Styela clava: one gene and its partner. The protein of the gene in region 2 purifies or fractionates together with the protein of the main gene of each other region. This does not show direct contact. Links are inferred from orthologs where the notes say so. Each region holds a gene or a part of one and is shown on either strand. Other genes may lie near its edges.

Region 1 (10,094 bases), on a different chromosome or scaffold from region 2:
ATGAACACCTTTTTACATAATTATGAACTATGTATATTGTATTCTTTATCAGGGAATACATTGTCCTGCCCGTGCCTTGACAAGAAACAATTGAAAATAAACAATCGTGAAGAGCTGTTTGCAGTATATTGTTCTTCGTACACAACTTATATTATTTACCATACTATAAAATATCGAATTTTTTCGGGATCAGGAATACTGACTCATCTATTCCAAAGATTTCGCTCTTACGGTGCTTAAAATGACAATCAATAACCTTTACTTTGGTTAACTGTATATAAATTGACAGCACTGCAGTTAAAACTAATAAAACGTATACCATGCTACCTAATAATGATAGAGGCAAACGCTTTGACACAGGGAGCCAACAGTACTTGAAAATGTATAAAACAAAAAAATCTATTTATTCATTTGCTTAATTAGCAAAAAGTAATATATTACTTGAAAACATTGTACTTTTTACATTAATATGTTATAATTTGAGATGCAATCGATTAAAAATACCAAATCGACATTGAGTCTTCACCGCCTTGGGTGCTAAATCACGAAACAACTATCACATTAGAACAAGGTCCCTTCCCGGACAGGTGCATTTTTACAGAATTCACACACACACACTTGTGAGAAACACTGGTTACAAAAACTTAAAATACAAAAAATGTCTGTACAATATTTAGCACCCGCTTTTTGTCTTGAATTGGTAAAATTGTAGACATATGAAAGTGCATAAGATAGAAATAATATATTAAAACAAGTTGCAATTGTACAATCGCCACAGTTGCATCTTGGAAATATCTAATTGATGACAAAACTGCTGGTCAGATGTACCCTTTACCATTAATAAGTAAAATTTGTTAGAATAAACTTAAAAAATGAATTCCTTGGCAACAAATAAAAAGCCTCAATTCAGCTTTATAGATAGAGACTCAGTAACACATAAACAAATAAAAATTTGAACTCTCTCACGTTTTGATTTAAAACATCACATACGAATGATGATAGGATTACAGATTAATTTTTGGTACTCCCGTAGTATGTGAACAAAGATGACGAACACCAGAACGTAGTATGTGTACCAGGTTAGGGGTTGGCCATAATTTTATTCCAATTTACCTTATGTGACTCCCAAGGGATCCCTGTAGTATTCGTACCTGAAAATATAGCCTAACCATAACCTGGTACACATACTACGGTTCAGTGTCCGCCACCTTGGTTCACATACTTCGGGAGTACCTAATTTTTAATATCATAAATGAAACTAACAGTGAATATCTAGACTGAGTGAATCTAACATCTATTTAGCTATTGCAGTGCTTAGTCAAATGCGCTTAAAAATTAAATTCGTAGATTCCATTTGATTTTGCATAGTCATTCCCTGTAACTTTGATAATTCACTCAATGTTGTGATTTTTTGACCATTCGTAGTAATAAGGTAAGTGTGAATATTCAGTTGCAGGGGAAGCTGACATTACACATAAAATACTCGAACACGTGATTGACTCACAAGAAGATCTTCATCATAAAAGTTGGTTTCTATAATAACATTTCCGCTGAAAAAATAAAAGCAAAATCATGTAAAGAGAATATGATAATCGATAGCTAGGATCAAGCAAATACGTAACATCCACAGAAATCTCAAGCAACAATAGAGCTGGATTGTAGTGACTATGATGCGGTTAAAATACTATTGAAAAATGCAAATATTTCAGACTGTAATGCTCTTCCAAACCCATTTAAAACCACAGAAAGATTGCCGCACCATTTTGGCAGTTCATAACAATGCAAAGCGCGCTTTTGAGTAAATGGACTACCAGAATTGCCTCAGTCCTGATATGAATGGTGCATGTGAAAGCATGAAAGTACACAATACCAACAAAAGATTATAAGTAAATTTGCAACAGCAACTTTCTCATTGATGCCAAATTTTTTTAAATAGCTATGACCCATGGTCTTCTTTTCTACAATAAAAATATAATTTTCAACCCATTTATCAGAAAGGGAAGTGTGTGTACCAATATGAAAGTAACCAATTTTGTTCGCTTACTTCACATCAAGTTATGTAAAGAGACTGAAAGTTATAGGCAGGGGGTATATTCACATGGCTAAATAGAACTAAAATAAGAAAAACCGGAATAAAATTATGGCCTAACCCTAACCGGATACACAAATACGGGAGTACCTTTGGGGTTGAATGTCTGCACTGGATAAAATGAAAGAGCAAACATCACATCCTGAAACATAACTATTTTCTATATAGTTCAGCATATGCATCCAATTCATTAAATTGATATTATTTGTACATTGAGTATTTCCAAAGAGCGGAACAAAACTTGTTAAGATGTTACCTTAAAGCACTAGCAGGCATCATTTGCCCCTGTGGTGCAGCTTCAATTGTCGACTGCCATGTATTTGTTGAATCAGGAATCACAAATCCAAATTGGAAATACCATTCTGCAATATAATGAATTATGATTCATACATTATCAAATACCACATTATAAAACTATTAAACAGTGGAAGATAAAGAAGATATAAACTTTGTTAGGCAGGTATGGTTCGATAATACAGTTGTTAGTACAAGAATTGGAGCTCCAGAAGTACGTGTATGGAGGTAACTAATTTTGTTCGCCTAATTTACATCAAGTTGTATAAAGGGACTGCAAGCTATGGGCAGGGGGTATTTTTACTTGGCTAACACAACAGGCCCCAGACTCGTAATAGAACTAAAATGATGAAAATCAGAATAAAATTATGGCCTAACCCTAACCTGGTACACACACTACGGGAACCAGTATCCAAGAATTTAACAAGAACATATTAGAAAATTATACCTATTCATACTCTTGCAAAATGAATATGTGATTAATTAGGAAGTTCAGAATAAATTAGTTACTATTCCATAAAACGCATGTATACTCAAAATGCTAAAAATCCCTCATTGAGTAGTCAGTTAGAGAGGTTGAGGTTTCTCAGTAAAGGGTCATCCACTCAACAGAACACGGTGAGTAACAACAATGTGTTTCACAATAAGTGATTGACTTAAAATGCCAATACTAGTTCAGAATTACTAAAAACAAAAATGTAGCAAAATATACCTTCAAGTACTCTTCCTTTGAAAATTATTTTTTGTTCCAGTCTGAATTTTTCCATAGACTCTTTTGAGGAAAAATTGATTTCTCTTGACACAGCTTTGCATTTCAATATTTTTTTAGGTACTCGAGCTAAAAATAATATTGATAAACAAATATAACAGAGGATGTGAGGCCACATATTTACACAGCTAATTTTGAGCATAAATGACCCAATAAATTTTAATGACAACATCAAATTTTAAAGCCGCTCACCATGAACATCACTGCCAAAAAGTAACAAAAAAAATAGGCTGAGGTCTGCTAATCAATTTGTTTTTGTCTTGTGGTAGCCTTATATTTTGAAAACTGGACTGGAATTTCTTTTTCAACATTTGCTGTGGTGGCATAATGAACTTTTATCATCTATGATAATTGACCCAACTTAATACATATATTGCGCAATACAGATGGGGAAAAAATATTTCATCAATATTTTACCAATTCTGCAAACCATGTTACCTTCGTGCTCCTGCTCTGGCTTTGACAAATCTTCGCTGCCCTGCCATAAAACTCGGCCAGAACTGGCATCGCGCAAATTCATCCAATTTCTATAAATAAAAAGTTGAAAATTGATACATGAATCTTGAATAAATAAATATTTAAATACACAGAAGATTGTAGCATAGATTTTTTACAGACAGACAGTTATGATAATTCATATTTGTGTGCTATTTCTGTATTTAGTGCTGTTTACAGTCTGTGAATATTTACCTACAGCTCTTAAATAATATTTGCTGAATTCAGTTCCCTAAGTTATTTGAACAAAGTAATCAATAACAGTAAAAAAGGAAAACAGAAAAATACTAAATCAAGATAATTTTCTCATAGAAAGCTCAATGTTGAGAATCAAGACGGATCATGAATAACCACAGCAGTGATTTGAAATATATAAAACATCAAAACCTGCAGTAAAATATTTCAAAACATATGCAAATATCATAAAGTACGGTACTGTATTACAATGAAACATTACAATTCCATTTTTATTTCGATCATCCAATGTATTTCAATCATTTAAGACTGCCTAATGTAAATATTGAACAAAAACTTACAGTTGAAAACCTTCCAATATATTTTTGGCCTTTTCTGTAGTCATATTTGTAATCCAGGTATTAAATTACCACGTACTAAGCTAATTTTGTCACTCGAATAACTCAAGTCCAGTAGTTCAAGCCTTTGTTGCAGATATACGGTAACTGGACAAGTAATTACAGTTTCAGAATACGGTACCTAATTACAAATGCTGTAATGTGACTATGTCATTATGTGTAGTGAAGATAATGCCATCCTACTAATACATATCCCAGTGCCCGTATTCAGTTATTTGTGCTAACATGACTAAGCATTTCTTGTATATATATATTCTATATATTGTTATTAAGAGTAGTGAAGATAATGCCATCCTACTAATACATATCCTAGTGAAGTGCCCTTATTTGTGGCTACAGAACTAACTTCACTACTTGCTAGTATAGATATAGACACTGCAATACAGCAGAACGAGCCCTTGGTTGCTATTTACTGTTAGACTGTAGAGCGATATACCCCAGGCAGTCAGACGAAACTCGAAAAGGCATCGCACAATGAGGCAAGATGGCGTCTTACTGACTGTCTCTCACAGTACACATTTTATAATGTGTAGGCCACGTTCAAACGATCGATAACTGACAGAAAAACGTTGCATACTGGTATGCAGTTTTCGGTATTGATAAATGGTGTCGAAGCGAATTCGATCGCTAGTAGATTAACATACAAATAGGGGATTATATCGAAACGCAATAATCCCCTATGCCTGTCACATTTCTGGCAAAGATTTGCTGTTGTCATGTTCCTGTGTTCGGTCGATATATATGAACATTTACAGTGAAATTTATCCTGAACATTCGTGAGCAAAGTGAAATTTGGTTTTCTTAAAGAGTACTCGAGCAAAAATTCAAAGTTACCAACAACAAAACCAATTAATCCAAAAAAAAATCCACGAAATTCAATATACCCATGAAGTCGAGAAGTCTACTCAAAATGTGCAAGCCTTCAAACTTGCTCGTGCTGTCACAATCATCATTGGCCAAACGTAAATTTCTACCAGATAAAGCAGGGCTCCCCAAACTTTTGAGCTCGCGGCCCCTTTTAATATAGTAAAATTTTTCGCGGCCCTTGTCCACGTTAAATAATGCCAAACAGTTCGAATTATGCCTTTTTGATGTTTTATTGGCAGAGCTAATTCTCAACTTTAACATGTCTACTCAATAACAAAAACAAGCATATATTTATTCAGATTAACGTTTCTCAATTATTCAGTGTAATGGGTACGAATGCTTTTTGCTGCATAGCAAGGCTCAATGTATGTTTATACAGGCCTAAATGATGAATTACGTTGTATGGCTACTGACGGCATGGTCCTTATCTCGAATTGTTCACTCTAATTGATCAAACTTAGCATAAGGCAGCATTTTGTTCGACGCCAAATTATCAGGGAAAAAACTCATGGCGCACCTACACGAAAAATATACTGCCTCGAAACAAAACACAATTTTGTCATCGTTAATATGAACTAAATGTCTTTTGAGGTTTTTAATCATGTAAGCCCGATGAATAAAGGCAAAAAGTTAACGTTTCTTTTTTATCACTGCCTGGTTGCAGCATGTAGGGTTCATCTCTTATATTACGTAACAATAGACCCTACGTACAGAAAGTAAACACATAGAACGGCAAAATGACTTTGATCCATAAACACGTCATTTGAAACAATTAAACATTTAGAATAAATATGATATGTAATATGTTTCGAGGCGCACTCAGCAAATCGTCTTCGGAAACCGCTAGCATAACGATTAGAGCCGTCATTGTTATGCAAACCGCAAATCGGGTTTCACGATCAGAATATGCATTGTTATGCAAGCGCCATCATTCTACCGTGTTTCCCCGAAGATAAGACCAAGGTTGAATTTTAAAAAGATTTCAATATAAGAGCTCGGCTTCAAAAAGGACTTAGTCGATAGCGCGAATTTTTTTTTTTTTTTGACTCAATCTCGTGGAAGTGCGTCGTTTTAATTTTGCTAGGACGTCGCAAAATTTCGTGATTCGTGAACCTTTCAAAAACCCATATCTTCTACTTTCACTGGAAAAAAGAAAGATTAAATCGATCCTACCTGTGATGTTGCTATAATAGGAATGTTTTATTCTGGAAATTCGGTTTTCTGTAGATAAAGATTATTTGTCCTTGGTTCCAAAAGCATTGCGCACTCCCAACTTCTTTGCGATTTCGTATTTATATAAAGCAGCCTTTTCTACCAAGGCCCATTAATTGCGATTTCACTGACTGTCGTTAAGTTTTGTTTAATCGTTTATATGAGCATATTTTTGAAGGGCGTCACAATACAATGAAGTTCGAGAACCACTGCGTCCCAGTCGATAGCAAGAAATATTTTCTACTTTTTTAAATGGGTAAAAGTCTATATGTAGCAGGTATTTAAAATAAAAACGTGCTATTTATAAGTAAATGGAAATAGGTATTCATATTTTGCATATATATATAATAAAAAAATCTCATTATTCTGTATCCCAAAAATAAGCCCTAGTGTTATTTTCGAAAGAAAATTGGAGACAGTGTCTTATTTTTGGAAAAACACGGTATTATGATGATGTATTCACTCGGAATCGTGAAATCTTTGTTTTACACTATTTGTATAATAATTGTATTTCGAATCAAGAGTCTGAAAAAAGTACAATAGTCAATATATATGGTATTTTGTGTAAAATTGGTGTTCTCTTTGCGGCCCCTAAAATTCGTTTCGCGGCCCCTAGTTTGGGAAGCCCTGAGATAAAGCACTAGTGTCGACATGATCTTTTAATAACAACAAATCGGTATGTAGGAAATATCCATGTCGAAGGACAGGGCCGGATTTAGAGTTTTTTTAGACAATGGAAGTCCTGGGTCAATGTTGTTTATTCCCATAAACCCAAATCATACCAAGATCATAAATAGGTTATACATCTGAGAAAAGATATACGAAGAGTGTGCAGCATAAGTCTGGGTATCTAAATTCCAATACAATACAAAATTCAATCGGATACAACAATGCAAACGCGACGCGCATGGTATTTCGGCGGCCATGATCGTCGAAATAGATATTCACGTTGGGGACTCTACCAGAGTTCGGATCCTTTTCTTTTTGCAAACTTTCTACCATTCAATAGTTTTGTAGGCTCTTTTCTTCTGATTTTGAGTGTGGAAAGTTGCTATCCGAGACCGCTCACCAAATTTTTGAAAAAGGCCTATTTGACATAGGCCTAGGCCTAAGACATCCTTCAGCTGGCGCAATGTCTCAATTTACATGGTGGCAGCGGTGTCTGAAATTCGCTTACTGTCGATCAGGAGCATTCAAGAAATGGAAGAGCCAGATCAAATATTTTCATGAGCCAGCGGACCTAAAGGAAGAACAAAATCCCATAATCTCATATTGCAGGTGCTGAAATGATAGTGAGACTGAAGACGAAGATGACTACAGAAGATGGCTGAATACTAGGGCTGGGAATTTCAGGGAAAACACTTTAACCGTTAACCGGGTAAATTAACCGGTTAACCGCCGCGTGACGTTTGACGTAATAATCTATAATTTCTGCCTGTTACGTCTCAATGCTTATAAAGCAATTTCGCGTGTTCTTATCCCGGTATCGCTTATTAAAATTATTCACGAATCGAGATAGTTTCATGATTACTCTGCTGCACGAGATAGGCAGCGTGGTTCGGGCATGTGGAAGTATTTTAGAATACCTGATTCCGTTGTTAAACGTCATTTATGTCACAAATTATCAGTGTTCGATGTGCAAATTTTACTTCGGAGTATATATCATATAAAGAAAAACGCCATCAACTGCGCACTTGTTGTATGACATTGAATATCCGATTTTGCAATGAAATCGTAAACACTATTTCGAAATCGACCGAAAACTGATTCTGAATTCATCATTGTCAGATTTCCATAATCAGCAATCTTGGTACTTCCATTATGCACAGTCCTTACTCACACAGTTAATAATATTCATTAAATGCCACAAGAGATAAATTTGCGATGACGTAATCATATTTGAAGAAATTGTACGGTATGAAGATGATTTGTACCTGAGATGTCAGTTAAGGATTAAAATAAATCGTAACCGTTAACCATCTGAAATCGGTTAACCGGTTAACCATTCCCAGCCCTACTGAATACTATAATCTCCGGAAGAATGAAGTGATAGAGACATTTCGCTTTTTCAATGCCCAGTACAAAGACAATATTAATACATTTCTCGTTGAATTTCGTAGTAAAGCGATTCCTGTAATTTTAAAAAACAAGGTGCGAATGATAAGAAATGAAAAACGTATGTACATTGAATGGCAAATTACAAGAAATTCTGCATCCAAGATTCGTGCATCATCGGAAAGCGAGCAACGAATTTTGTCGACTCAAAATTTACAACGCCGAAATATGAACCTAGCTCAGCAACACAAAAAGCGAATTCCGAATGCAAACTAAGAGTTCAAATTTTGTGGACGAAGGCGCAGGTTCTGAATATTTTTGCCCTGTCTACGTGAAAACATGTCCCCCGTGCAATGATAGAAATAATTTCCGGGTGAAGTGTAGAACCTTAAGCCATGTTCGATAAATGAAGAAACATGACCAAAATAAAAACGCTTGAAGAAGGTGTCCAGAATATAAATAACGTCAAATCATCATATGTCTAAAACGTCATTTTGCCAGACATGGTATTTATCATGGATATTTATCCCAGATTGTGAAAGTACTGAAAGTACTGAACTCGTCGAATTCATGAGAGAGTGAAGAGTCAAGCATGCAAGCTCTTCGCATGTGCATCAACAAGCGAATGGAAAAGCTGAATCGTGGGTGAAGATTCTGAAGAATATGCTGAAAAGGACTACAAACACGAATGAAGATCAATTCATTCATTCATTCAACTCTTCTAAAAATAATCGTGAATCGTGTTGCAACCAGACCTCGTCGAAATCGTAAACCTCATATTTGGATGAAAGACTATGTGACTGAGTAGTGGCTTTAACTTGAATTTGAGTGTTAAATATTATTGCTCTCATTTATGTGCCTTGATGGTAATGATCATGACTTGTGTAATAAGTAAAAGTGAATATTTTCTATTTTGAATTTGAAAATAATTTGTGAAATTTATCTTAAACAAATTGGGATGTTGTCGTTGATGATGGCTAAAATCAGTGGCGGCGCGTCAATAGGGCCAACCGGGGCAATGCCCCGGTTGTTTTTTCGGTATAATAAAAAATATTCGAAAAATACCTCAATATCGGTTGCACAGACTGTCTACACCAGCCATATTCTCCCGACGTGGTTCATTTTTCGCTCGCAAAGCCTTCGCCGAACGTCGACGGGGCGACGCCGATTTTGCCCCGGTTGCTCATTGTATATCGTATTCTCTCTTTTATCTTCCACTCGCCGCGTTTGTTTTCTGTTTCTTTTACAAAATCATCGGGGCTAGCCCCGAAATTATGACGACACAATGCCAACGTTTCTTACAAAAATGTGTTGACATATTCTCGCATTCCTTCTCGTTCGTTGGTTGCTTGAAGATTTGATAGTTTCCTCGCCTTCGTTTTTGTCGCGTGTTTCGCTATTTGAATCAGTTAGAGACCTTTAGTCCATTTGCTTTCGATTTTCCACATTCCTTTTGAGCTCCTCACCTCTATCCGGCTTCGCATTTCTTAGCCTTAGACCTCATAATGAATAAGGTTGATGCACTACTTCGCACTCCGTTTTCGCAGCTGCCGCTGGAACAAAAATTAGAGGTACAACGTCTTGGGCCTTATCAACCAAAAAATTGTTCACTGGAACAATCCCATGACGGAGGAAAGCGTCGGCGTACATTCTGCGCAGAAACTTGGTATAAAAAACACGAATGGTTGTGTTACAGCGAGGACAAAAATGCACTTTTTTG
Region 2 (9,736 bases):
CTTGTTCTATAAACAATTGTTCGCAATCAGAGCTGGGTGTTTTCAAAAACCCAGTGGTTTCAGAATTGAATCGAATATATTTCGACTCAAATCTCGAATACTTGGAAATTGAATGCGAATTTTTTATTGAATTACTAAAAACATACACTCCATCACTCAGACAGTTGGTTTTGTGTTGCCACAGAATAAGAAACCTGTTTCATCAATAAATCCCTCGCCTGTCAATTTGTATTGTAAAAAATATGCTTTAACAAAAAATGACCAAACCGACTTAGATCTTTAGTAAACAAAAAAAAAGGTGGCGATTCCAAAAAAATACTATTCGATTTAAAATGCCCAACCGTATTCACATTCCACAGTGTTGGCTAAATACATGTAGACCTGTTGTTTTTGCAATTTAGTTGTTCAAATAAACTGCTGTAGACAATCTTCTATGAGTTGTACGACCTCTTAGCGAATTGAAGAAAATAAAATACTTTCCTAAAATTAATATATATATACTGCCAAATATCGCCATCCCATAATTTCATGATATTGTTTTTCAACAACATTTACGCATAAGTCAATTACTCAATTATCAAAGCAATGTGAGGCAAATGATTCCAGCATTGTTTCAGAACTATAACTACCAACCACGGCCATATTTTTTATTTTCATCAATACTTAGGTTATCGTACGAAATCGTTCGTACGTCTCGATCTGCATTAAAAAAATTCGTTACCGTAGCGACACCTATGATCAAACACTAAATGCGATACCAAAGTGAAGAGTCGGACGCCAAAATATGGATTTCGTAGCGGGGGCACGCCCGAGTACGCCAGTGCTCCCCGAAAATGCCCCTGAGTAAAATCCTTTTTGCTCGCCGGAAAATTCGTTTATTGCAAACCATTGCATCTGACGATGTGAAGGGCAGAAGTGTGGTTGAAGGAAACAGCCACCAACAAATAATGATGGCTAGTTTCAACATTGCAAACTAACTGATTATAGCAGGGGTTCTCAACTTTTTTCCTGTTAGCACCCCCGAGTCATGAAATAATCAACACGGACCCCAGTGATCGGTCAAACATAGTTTTAATATATTAACTAATGATTTTACTGTGTTTTTTTAAATCAGTGGTTCCCAACCAATGGTCCACGGACCGGCATCGGAACCAGAAGCTTTTTTGTCGGTCTGCGCGAAATTTTATTGTTTTTTAGTCGTCTCAGTCGCTTTAGCGAACCCGAAATAACGACGTTGTGTTTGTTTATTACGCGATTTCTCTGTCGCCGACATATTGCTGTTTGCGGTATCAATGGCCCGACGACATTTTGGCGCCGAGTAATCACACTTTTCGCTTCCGATTCATCCCGGAGCGTCCGCCAAATCTTGCAAGATTCAGAAAGCCGAAGATCGGCACATGTATTTTGCTGTTCTGCATGGTTTTCCTTCTTAATGTGGACATCCAAATAAAAGGTTATAGAAATTTCTTTGTTTAAATCAGAAAATATTCATGGATAGTATAATATTCCAGGGCTTTGCCTTGACATCCAGCAAAATATGAGCTTGTTGCGACCCTGCAGGTGGCCACAAGAAGCGCAACAAAAGCATGGGCCGCGTAGAATTTTTCCAGGCGATGCACAGCAGGATTGTGAACCTGGTGCTAAGTTACAAACGACTTTGTCATCATTCATTTTGTTTGATGCGTTGATTAACTGCAGAAGGATTAATATGAGATCAGTTAACCAGCAGGGCATTTTGATGTTTTTTAACAAGAACGAGGAGACAAAGTTCTTCTTCTAAACAAAGTTTCCTTTTTTCCATTTTTTTTTGTCGGCGCATTATTTGTTTTTATTCATGTGAAATGTTTTCAAGTGCCCAACATTACATTACATTTTGCAAATATATGTTGTTATTTTCTATTCCACTCATTCCAATTTTTTGCCGTCCGCGAGTACATTTTATTTAATTTTACCGGTCCGCCAGAGAGGTTGGGAACCAATGTTTTGAATGATATTAAACAAAAGTATTCATTTCATTTGTACAGAACATTAGTGTGAAGGCTGTCCCTGTTTATTGCGAATAAGTTTCTCAATTCGAAAAGCAAACAGTGCATTGTCCTTCGGGATTCCCCAGTTTGGCTGCAAAACTGTGAATTTCACATTGTTGAGTCACAACAATGCAAGATCGGAGAAAATCCACGCTGAGTTTTAATCGACACCCATTTTCCTTTGATAATAAAGAATATTGAAAAATAGCAACACATGAAAACTCAACTGTCATTCAAGTACCTTTCGCCATTATCAAACACCTCAAAACCCATGCCGACTAACAACTAAATGGATCTCTTTTGAAATACAAATGTTACATCCCAACCCTAGTTACATGTATGGTTAGGCATTGTTTCTCTTGAAGCGAGGTCTTTTGTAACCTTGCAAAATTTGTCTGTTTGTGCGTATTTTGATCTTTGACCTATGCGAAAATACGCATCGTCGCAGTCGTTTTGTGAGACCAGGAAATGGGGGGTCTCTGCCTTGGAATACAGGTCGGCCGGTGGGGATTTTATGGTGAAATTATTTTACACTTGTTTATTCAAGTTTTTTTTTTTCAAATACGGCTAGGCTATTCCTTCAGTTGCACGCTAGGAGTTCACGCGGTCTCGGTAGGTTTGCACTCAGATGTTTGGCGTGTCGGGGAAACTGCTTGTACGCCAAGACCCCTGATTTTTAGATTTGCACGCCTGTCCTGTCTGTACGGTACAGCTGTACGGTATCTGTCATTCCACAAATAACCAGCCAATGCCCAACCTTCCTGCTCTCTAAATGCCTTAAGAAAAATTTCATTCTGTCCTCCTTTCTAGGATTCAATTTCAAGCCCCAAACTGCTGAACTGTGCTTTTTTTAATAGACTATTAGGGTACGGTACAGTAATAACTAATAATAATATTGATGATAAATTATTTTTAGGATAGAATTAACATATTTATCCCGGGGGAGAGGAAAGCCGATAAGACGGCTTAACCATATGACTTAACACGGCCACTCGCAGTATCGTCTGGTTACTGTACCGGTATCATTCCATGTCGGGTACGGTACCGGTACCCTACGGTATGGGATTAGTTAACGTTAGTCGGTAGCCTATGGCTATAGTGGTGGTAGCATAAAAGTCATATTGGGGATGGCAAAATACGGTCGAAAGGTGGCAGATTAGGGATGGCAAATTAGGGTCGAAAACGAGTTGGCCTGGCTCAACAATTTTTGCATATGTCAATCCTAACCCCCGCCTGACTACGTCACTGAAAAATTACGCCATTCCGACGTCACAGTGGCGTAATACCGTAAGGCCCACCGAAGTACCGGTATGCGGATGGTCGTCCAAAACGCGCAGTCGAAAACCCGAAATCGAGCAAGCTATTTCTCTCGTTTTCTCGTCGCAACGATCACATAGGAGAGAGATCGCCGGCTTTAGCAAGTTCTTATCGGCGGCGCATATGCCATTTCGGGCGATCGTAATTATACTTTTGCAATCCCTATGACGTGATGGTGACGTCGTAGTGACGTAATTTTTGGATGGCATAGTCAGGCAGTCAGGTGAGGGTTAGGAATAACATATATGCAAAAATCGTTATGCTACGCCCACTGGAAGTACTTGTGGTACTAAACTATACTAGACCCGAATTTTGCATATGTTATTCCTAACTCCCACCTGACTATGTCATCCAAAAATTACGTCACTACGACGTCACCATCACGTAAGGCTTGCCAAAGTATAATTACGACAGTACGAACTCGCTCAAGTCGGCGATCTCTCTCCTATTGCTGTATTGTGATTGTTGTGACGAGGAAAAGAGAGAAATAGCTTGCTCGATCCGCATACTTTGGTGGGCCTTATTACGCCACTGTGACGTCAAAATGACGTAATTTTTCGGTGACGTAGTCAGGTAGGGGTTAGGATTGACATATGCAAAAATTGTCAATGTGGTACTAACTAAACTATACCAGACCCCACACAGACTATATATCTAAATCACTGTTCCGAGCAATGGCATGTGCCATTTATATGTTCAATACGAAACTTGATGCATATCGATATCCTATCAACTTTCCAAATCAGATACGAAAAGAAATTTCTTGTCGACTTACTTCGAATGTTTGCAACAAATTGAATGTTCTTGTTACTGCAACCATACCACCACCTGGAAATAAAAAAATAGTTATTGCACCAACCTGCTGACCTAATGAATATTATACAGGCTATGATATATGTAATTATCAAACAGCTTTTTCTGAATTCCATATTACTTGTCTTCTTCTATGACAAATGAATATTATTGAATTTATCTTTATTGAGTTCACTTTTAAACTGCGAATTTAAAATACTGTCTTGAGCTACAATGCATGTTGTTGCCTTATTCACATTCCAAATCAAATTCAAAGAAGACTTTATGTCGACTTTCTCTGGATGTTTTTGACAACTTGACTCAGAATGTTTTTTTTTGTGTGTGTGGGTGTATTCATATGTATACAATGATCACACCTCTATGACTGATTACACATAGTACCGCACCGGTACGGTACTTCGTCTAACTTAGTACATCATTGATCTGCTTATTCTATTTATATAATATTGTTATTAGAATTATATTACATGTCTTCTTTATCACCTCATCATGTGTTTATCAATGCCTGGCCTGAACTGCTCCACTCGACCGATTTGAATTTCACATTACCATAGCAACTAGTATACCTCAATCAATTTACACACTTCAGTGCCTGTCAATCGGGGAATCCCCGTAAGTTATCTGGTGGGCTCGATTAGAGATGTTGCCATGTACTATTCATGGTAGTCTCATAGGATTTAGGATAGGATATAACTTTCATGTCTCTTGGATGTGGTTCAACTGCCAAAGCCTGGTCATTCATATTAAAAGTGTTCTAAAAACGTAACTTCTTTAAAAAAAAATAAAGTTAAATATTGAACCTTGTGTGTTGCTGCTCGATAACCATTCCTGGTTCCCCGCGACTTCCCTTCCCCAGTAAAAATGTGTTTTCAGTTTTGTATTTTGTTAATTTCGTATGTTATTTTTTACTGAATGGGAAAAAATAAACTTGACTATGACTATGACTATTAGTATATCTAGATATACAGATATAGCCATATCTCAGATGTCGGTCTATACATCTGATACATCAGTACATAGACTACACCTGTACACTCAGAATCAGACATTGATACATGCAATAGGTTCTTTCACTTTCTGACTTCTATTCTCAAATATTTTCTTTTTATTTTTGGCCTGTAGACTACTTTGTTTGCAGACTACAGGACTAATATATAATATTCTTGATATGTCTGATTCTGAAGATGACACTGAAGACGTGCAATTAAAGTTTGTCGTTCTTGGAGATGGTTCGAGTGGAAAAACCTCACTGATTACTCGTTACACACAGGATCAATTTGGGCGTAATTATGAACAAACCGTTGGATTGGATTTCTTTCTAAAAAGAATAAGACTTACGAATAAGAAAAATGTCTCGCTAAAAATATGGGATATTGGCGGACAAACTCTTGGTGGAAATATGCTTGATAAGTATGTATTTGGTGCCCAAGGAGTACTGCTTGTATACGATGTTACAAATCACCACAGTTTTGAAAATCTTGAAGAATGGTATGAAATTGTTAAATCGATGGCCCATGATTCGCAACCACATTATGCCCTCGTAGCAAATAAATGTGATCTCGAGCACTTAAGAACTGTCACAAAAGATAAACATATGACATTTGCAACAAAAAACAAGTTGCAGAGTCACTATATATCAGCAAAAACAGGTGATTCTGTGGATCTTTGTTTTAAAATGTTGGCTGCTGACATTCTTGGGATCAAGTTAACAAGAGCAGAAACTGAACAAGCACATCGAATTGTAACAGCAGAAATTGCCAATTCTGCAAACTCAGAAGCAGTAAAAATAGCTTCAGTTCGAAGAAAACAACAAAAAAGCTCTTTTTGCTCACTTCAATAATTAATTTTGGCAATAAAAATTATATTTTATAAATAATCGATTTTAGTATGTATCTGAAAACATCTATTAATTCAAACGAGTCATTGCCCAAGTTGGTATACTCCTATTTCTTTGTTTTCTTGCTATTTAATGTTTAAGCCCCTATTATTTTAGTTTGTGAATTTATAAATAGTAAATATTTTTTCTCAGTATTTGAAAACGTCAAGTTAAGATTTTGCTTCAAAAGTCTTAAAACAATATCACCCTAAAACAGATTTGTCTTTATACATTTTTCAAAAATAGTTTCATATATCTTTTATTCTTACCTGGTTGTTCTTTAGTTAAATATGTGCTGTAGTAGGTGGACCAAACATTGTTTACATGTTGTTACACATTTCCTATTTTTAAATGGCAATGCATCTCATTAGAGTTTCAGTATACCTGTTCTGCAATGTCTTTATTATATATTATTTTCAGACTTTTTACCACTTTATCATCTTTTTTCATACCATTATTTTGTACGATATCACTACTTTTTCCTCTTGAAAGGTGCTCTGTGCGTTTCTCATCTCGGAATAGTCAATATGCATTTTATATTAATTGAATAACAGTTTTTAAAGATATGGGGTGCTAATTTATCTGGCCATCATATATCAACACATTTCGATAATTCTTCATACTGTCGCTAACCTTGTTCAGCCCTTTAATTTTAAACTCGTAATAATATTAGCTGATTGGCTTCAACTCTAGGTTGCAATGTAATGCCTTACCAAAAATTCAATGAAAATTAAAAAGGTGATTTTCAATTTTTTTTTATCCAACCAGTGAAAACCAATAAATTCAAGTAAAATTGGAAATTTCTGTAAATTTTAATACAGTTCAATCATATTGGGAAATATGGATAGTTTTAGGTTTTGTTTGTGAATTTTTCGAAATTCATTTTGGTTTATGAAATTTTGTCCTATGAGGCTATGAGTGAGTAGCATGATGAAATGAATACATTTCTGAATACTGTGATAGGCTTAGCCCTGTTTGTTTTGATTGTAGTATTTTAACAAGTAATGCACTGTACATGAATATTTCCATAAAACAGGGGTGCATAACCTCTACTCCATTGATAGACACGTATTACTGTATACTGAGGAAGGGTGCTAATGGTAAATAAAGAATTTCTTCAATTTTTTCTAAATAATATGATTCATTAATAATGCTTAAAAGTTTTTATAATTATATAAGTGCTGAGTTTCATGTGGTTGTAGCATTGCATTTTGTGCTTTCACTACTCCTCGAACATATTCGGGGTGGGGTGTAATCAAAGGTTTCATTACATTTGAACCCACGTACATTTGAACCCACGACAATTGCACCTACATACTTACAATTGCACCTATGGAGATCTTTTTTGTTTTACGGATATTTGAATCCATACTAACCCTGGCCCATGGGTTTTTGCACCCGCATATAGATTGAACCCGCGGATATACACATGGGTTCAAATGTACGTTGGTTCAAATGTACGGTCACCGTAATCAAAGTATGGTATGTCTTATTCTGTAAGTTTTTTATAGAAATGTTCAAATGTAATAGGCAATAGCAATCGCAACTTGTACCACGTTTTATGCTGACTAGTTTTTAGTTGTATCTTATTCTTGCACTCTTATCACACATTTAATAACTGTGCTTGATACATAATTTGTTTTAATTTTTTAGACCTAAGATTAGTAGTCCTCCTTTGTAATTCACCATGGAAGATAGTAAAGTATTTACTGGACTGGTGGAAAACCAACCTCTGGATCTTGATCAACGTGAGGCCGACCTGGATATGTATTATCCTGATTTAGAAGATCTTCAACTTCTAGCAAGTGAAGATATGCTTGAAACTGTCGGAGAACATATTCAGGAGAATCTTGAGGATGACCTTGTCAAAGAGGCTTTGGAAAAAGGTGTAGATCTTCGAGAGTATGCGAAGAATATTGAGAAAGACTTGACGAAAGTGGAAAAGGATTCGATACAGGATTATATAAGAGAAAGTAAAAGAGTTGCCGACCTCCATAAACGAATCGGCTCTTGTGAGTCTGTTTTGGAAAGAATGGAGGGAATGTTACATGGTTTTCAACATGCATTAAGCAGTATAAGCTCTGAAATTCAATCATTGCAGGTTAGTAACATTAGGATTTTTATATCTATACCATGTAACATTTTTATCATATGATGAATCATGGTCTCGTAATCTGTGATTCGTGACTTTGACATAATACATCAGATTTTAACTTTATATTATTAATAAATTGAATGATATTATTGCTGGTGAGACATGTCGATTTCAAAGTAATCCACCAATGTTAGCTAGCCTTCCTATCTATTTCAGTCAATTATAATGTTGATTTTCATTGATGAGCTTTGAGGCTTCCTTTTTATGATCAGGCAGGGCAAGGATATCATGATCTCATGACCAATTGTTAATAATATCCGTAAAAATCCTGAGCAGTTTTATAAATGACTGTATTCCCATTCAGTATTGGTTAATAATATCCAAGAAAAGATCTACTCTATGATATTGCATTTTATTATTATCATATGATTTAGGATTCTCAAAGTAATATATCTTTCTCCATGCAAATGGAGACCCCCAAAGCAAAATTTTCGAGACACATAGAAGAAGCTTTCCATTTTATGAGGAATGTACTCAAAAACAACTTTGAATTACCGTAATATGAAAATATCTCGTCACAATTTTTGTTTTAGTAGATATTCATCATTTACAGAGATTCCTCAAGGTTAATGACAACTAATTAACTAAACAACTAAATTCAATTTTTTATTGATCTTAGGAACAATCCATCACCATGAATATGAAGCTCAAAAACAGACAATCTGTGAAAAGCGAGTTGAGTCAACTTGTTGATGAAATGGTTGTTCCTGAAGCAATGATCACAGCAATATTGGAAATTCCCGTCACAGAAAGAGAATTTTTAGAGCAATTACATGAACTCAATCATAAAATCAAATTTTTAAAACAACATTCGTTCAACGATACCTTGGCATGTCGTGATGTTAGTGACACAGTACAAAAACTTAAATTCAAAGCTGTTGCTAAAATTCGTGAATATTTGCTTCAAAAAGTTTATTCATTTCGTAAGCCTATGAGTAACTATGAAGTACCGCAAAATGCAATGTTGAAATCAAGGTTTTATTATGAGTTTTTGTTATCCAATGAAAGAGCCATTGCGAAAGAGGTACAAGAGGAATATGTTGATACTATGAGCAAAGTTTATTTCTCATATTTTAAAACCTATGTTTCTCGATTAATGAAAGTGCAATATGATGAAGTAGCTGATAAAGATGATCTAATAGCAATTGAAGACACTGCACGTCGTGGATTTTTCTCCTCAAAAATGCCACTAAAAAATCGAGCTACTATATTTACATTGGGGGGAAGAGGAAGCATTTTGACTACTGATTTAGAATCTGCAGTCATAGTACCTCATGCAGCCCAAAGAATTGACAAAAGATATCCGTTTGAAAGTTTATTTCGGAGTGAACATTATGCATTCATGGATAACTGCTGTCGTGAATATCTTTTTCTATGTGATTTTTTTCTCGTCACCAAGGCAAGCGCACAAGAAATGTTCAACAGCGTTATGGGAAAGACGATTTCAATGTTGATGAAACATGTTGCGTCGTATACAAATGATAGTTTTGATTCCATTGCACTTTTCCTCTGCATTCACATCGTTGATAGATATAGGAAAATTATGCA

The links.
Region 1: the proteins of ras-related protein Rab-28-like (region 2) and retinal rod rhodopsin-sensitive cGMP 3',5'-cyclic phosphodiesterase subunit delta-like purify together in Homo sapiens (affinity purification with mass spectrometry; 3 studies listed by BioGRID and IntAct, with this or other methods). This does not show direct contact. The link is inferred for Styela clava from reciprocal best matches to the Homo sapiens genes RAB28 and PDE6D.

The regions. Positions count from the first base shown.
Region 1 is NC_135252.1:5,208,449-5,218,542, forward strand, and holds retinal rod rhodopsin-sensitive cGMP 3',5'-cyclic phosphodiesterase subunit delta-like, read right to left. Parts: upstream 4,631-10,094; 5' UTR 4,228-4,630; coding exon 4,184-4,227; intron 3,680-4,183; coding exon 3,591-3,679; intron 3,222-3,590; coding exon 3,096-3,221; intron 2,452-3,095; coding exon 2,346-2,451; intron 1,551-2,345; coding exon 1,469-1,550; 3' UTR 108-1,468; downstream 1-107. UniProt on the Homo sapiens protein: Promotes the release of prenylated target proteins from cellular membranes. Modulates the activity of prenylated or palmitoylated Ras family members by regulating their subcellular location.
Region 2 is NC_135262.1:19,598,089-19,607,824, reverse strand, and holds ras-related protein Rab-28-like, read left to right. Parts: upstream 1-5,259; 5' UTR 5,260-5,325; coding exon 5,326-5,997; 3' UTR 5,998-7,687; downstream 7,688-9,736. Other genes in the region: vacuolar protein sorting-associated protein 52 homolog, read left to right, coding at 7,721-8,134, 8,808-9,736.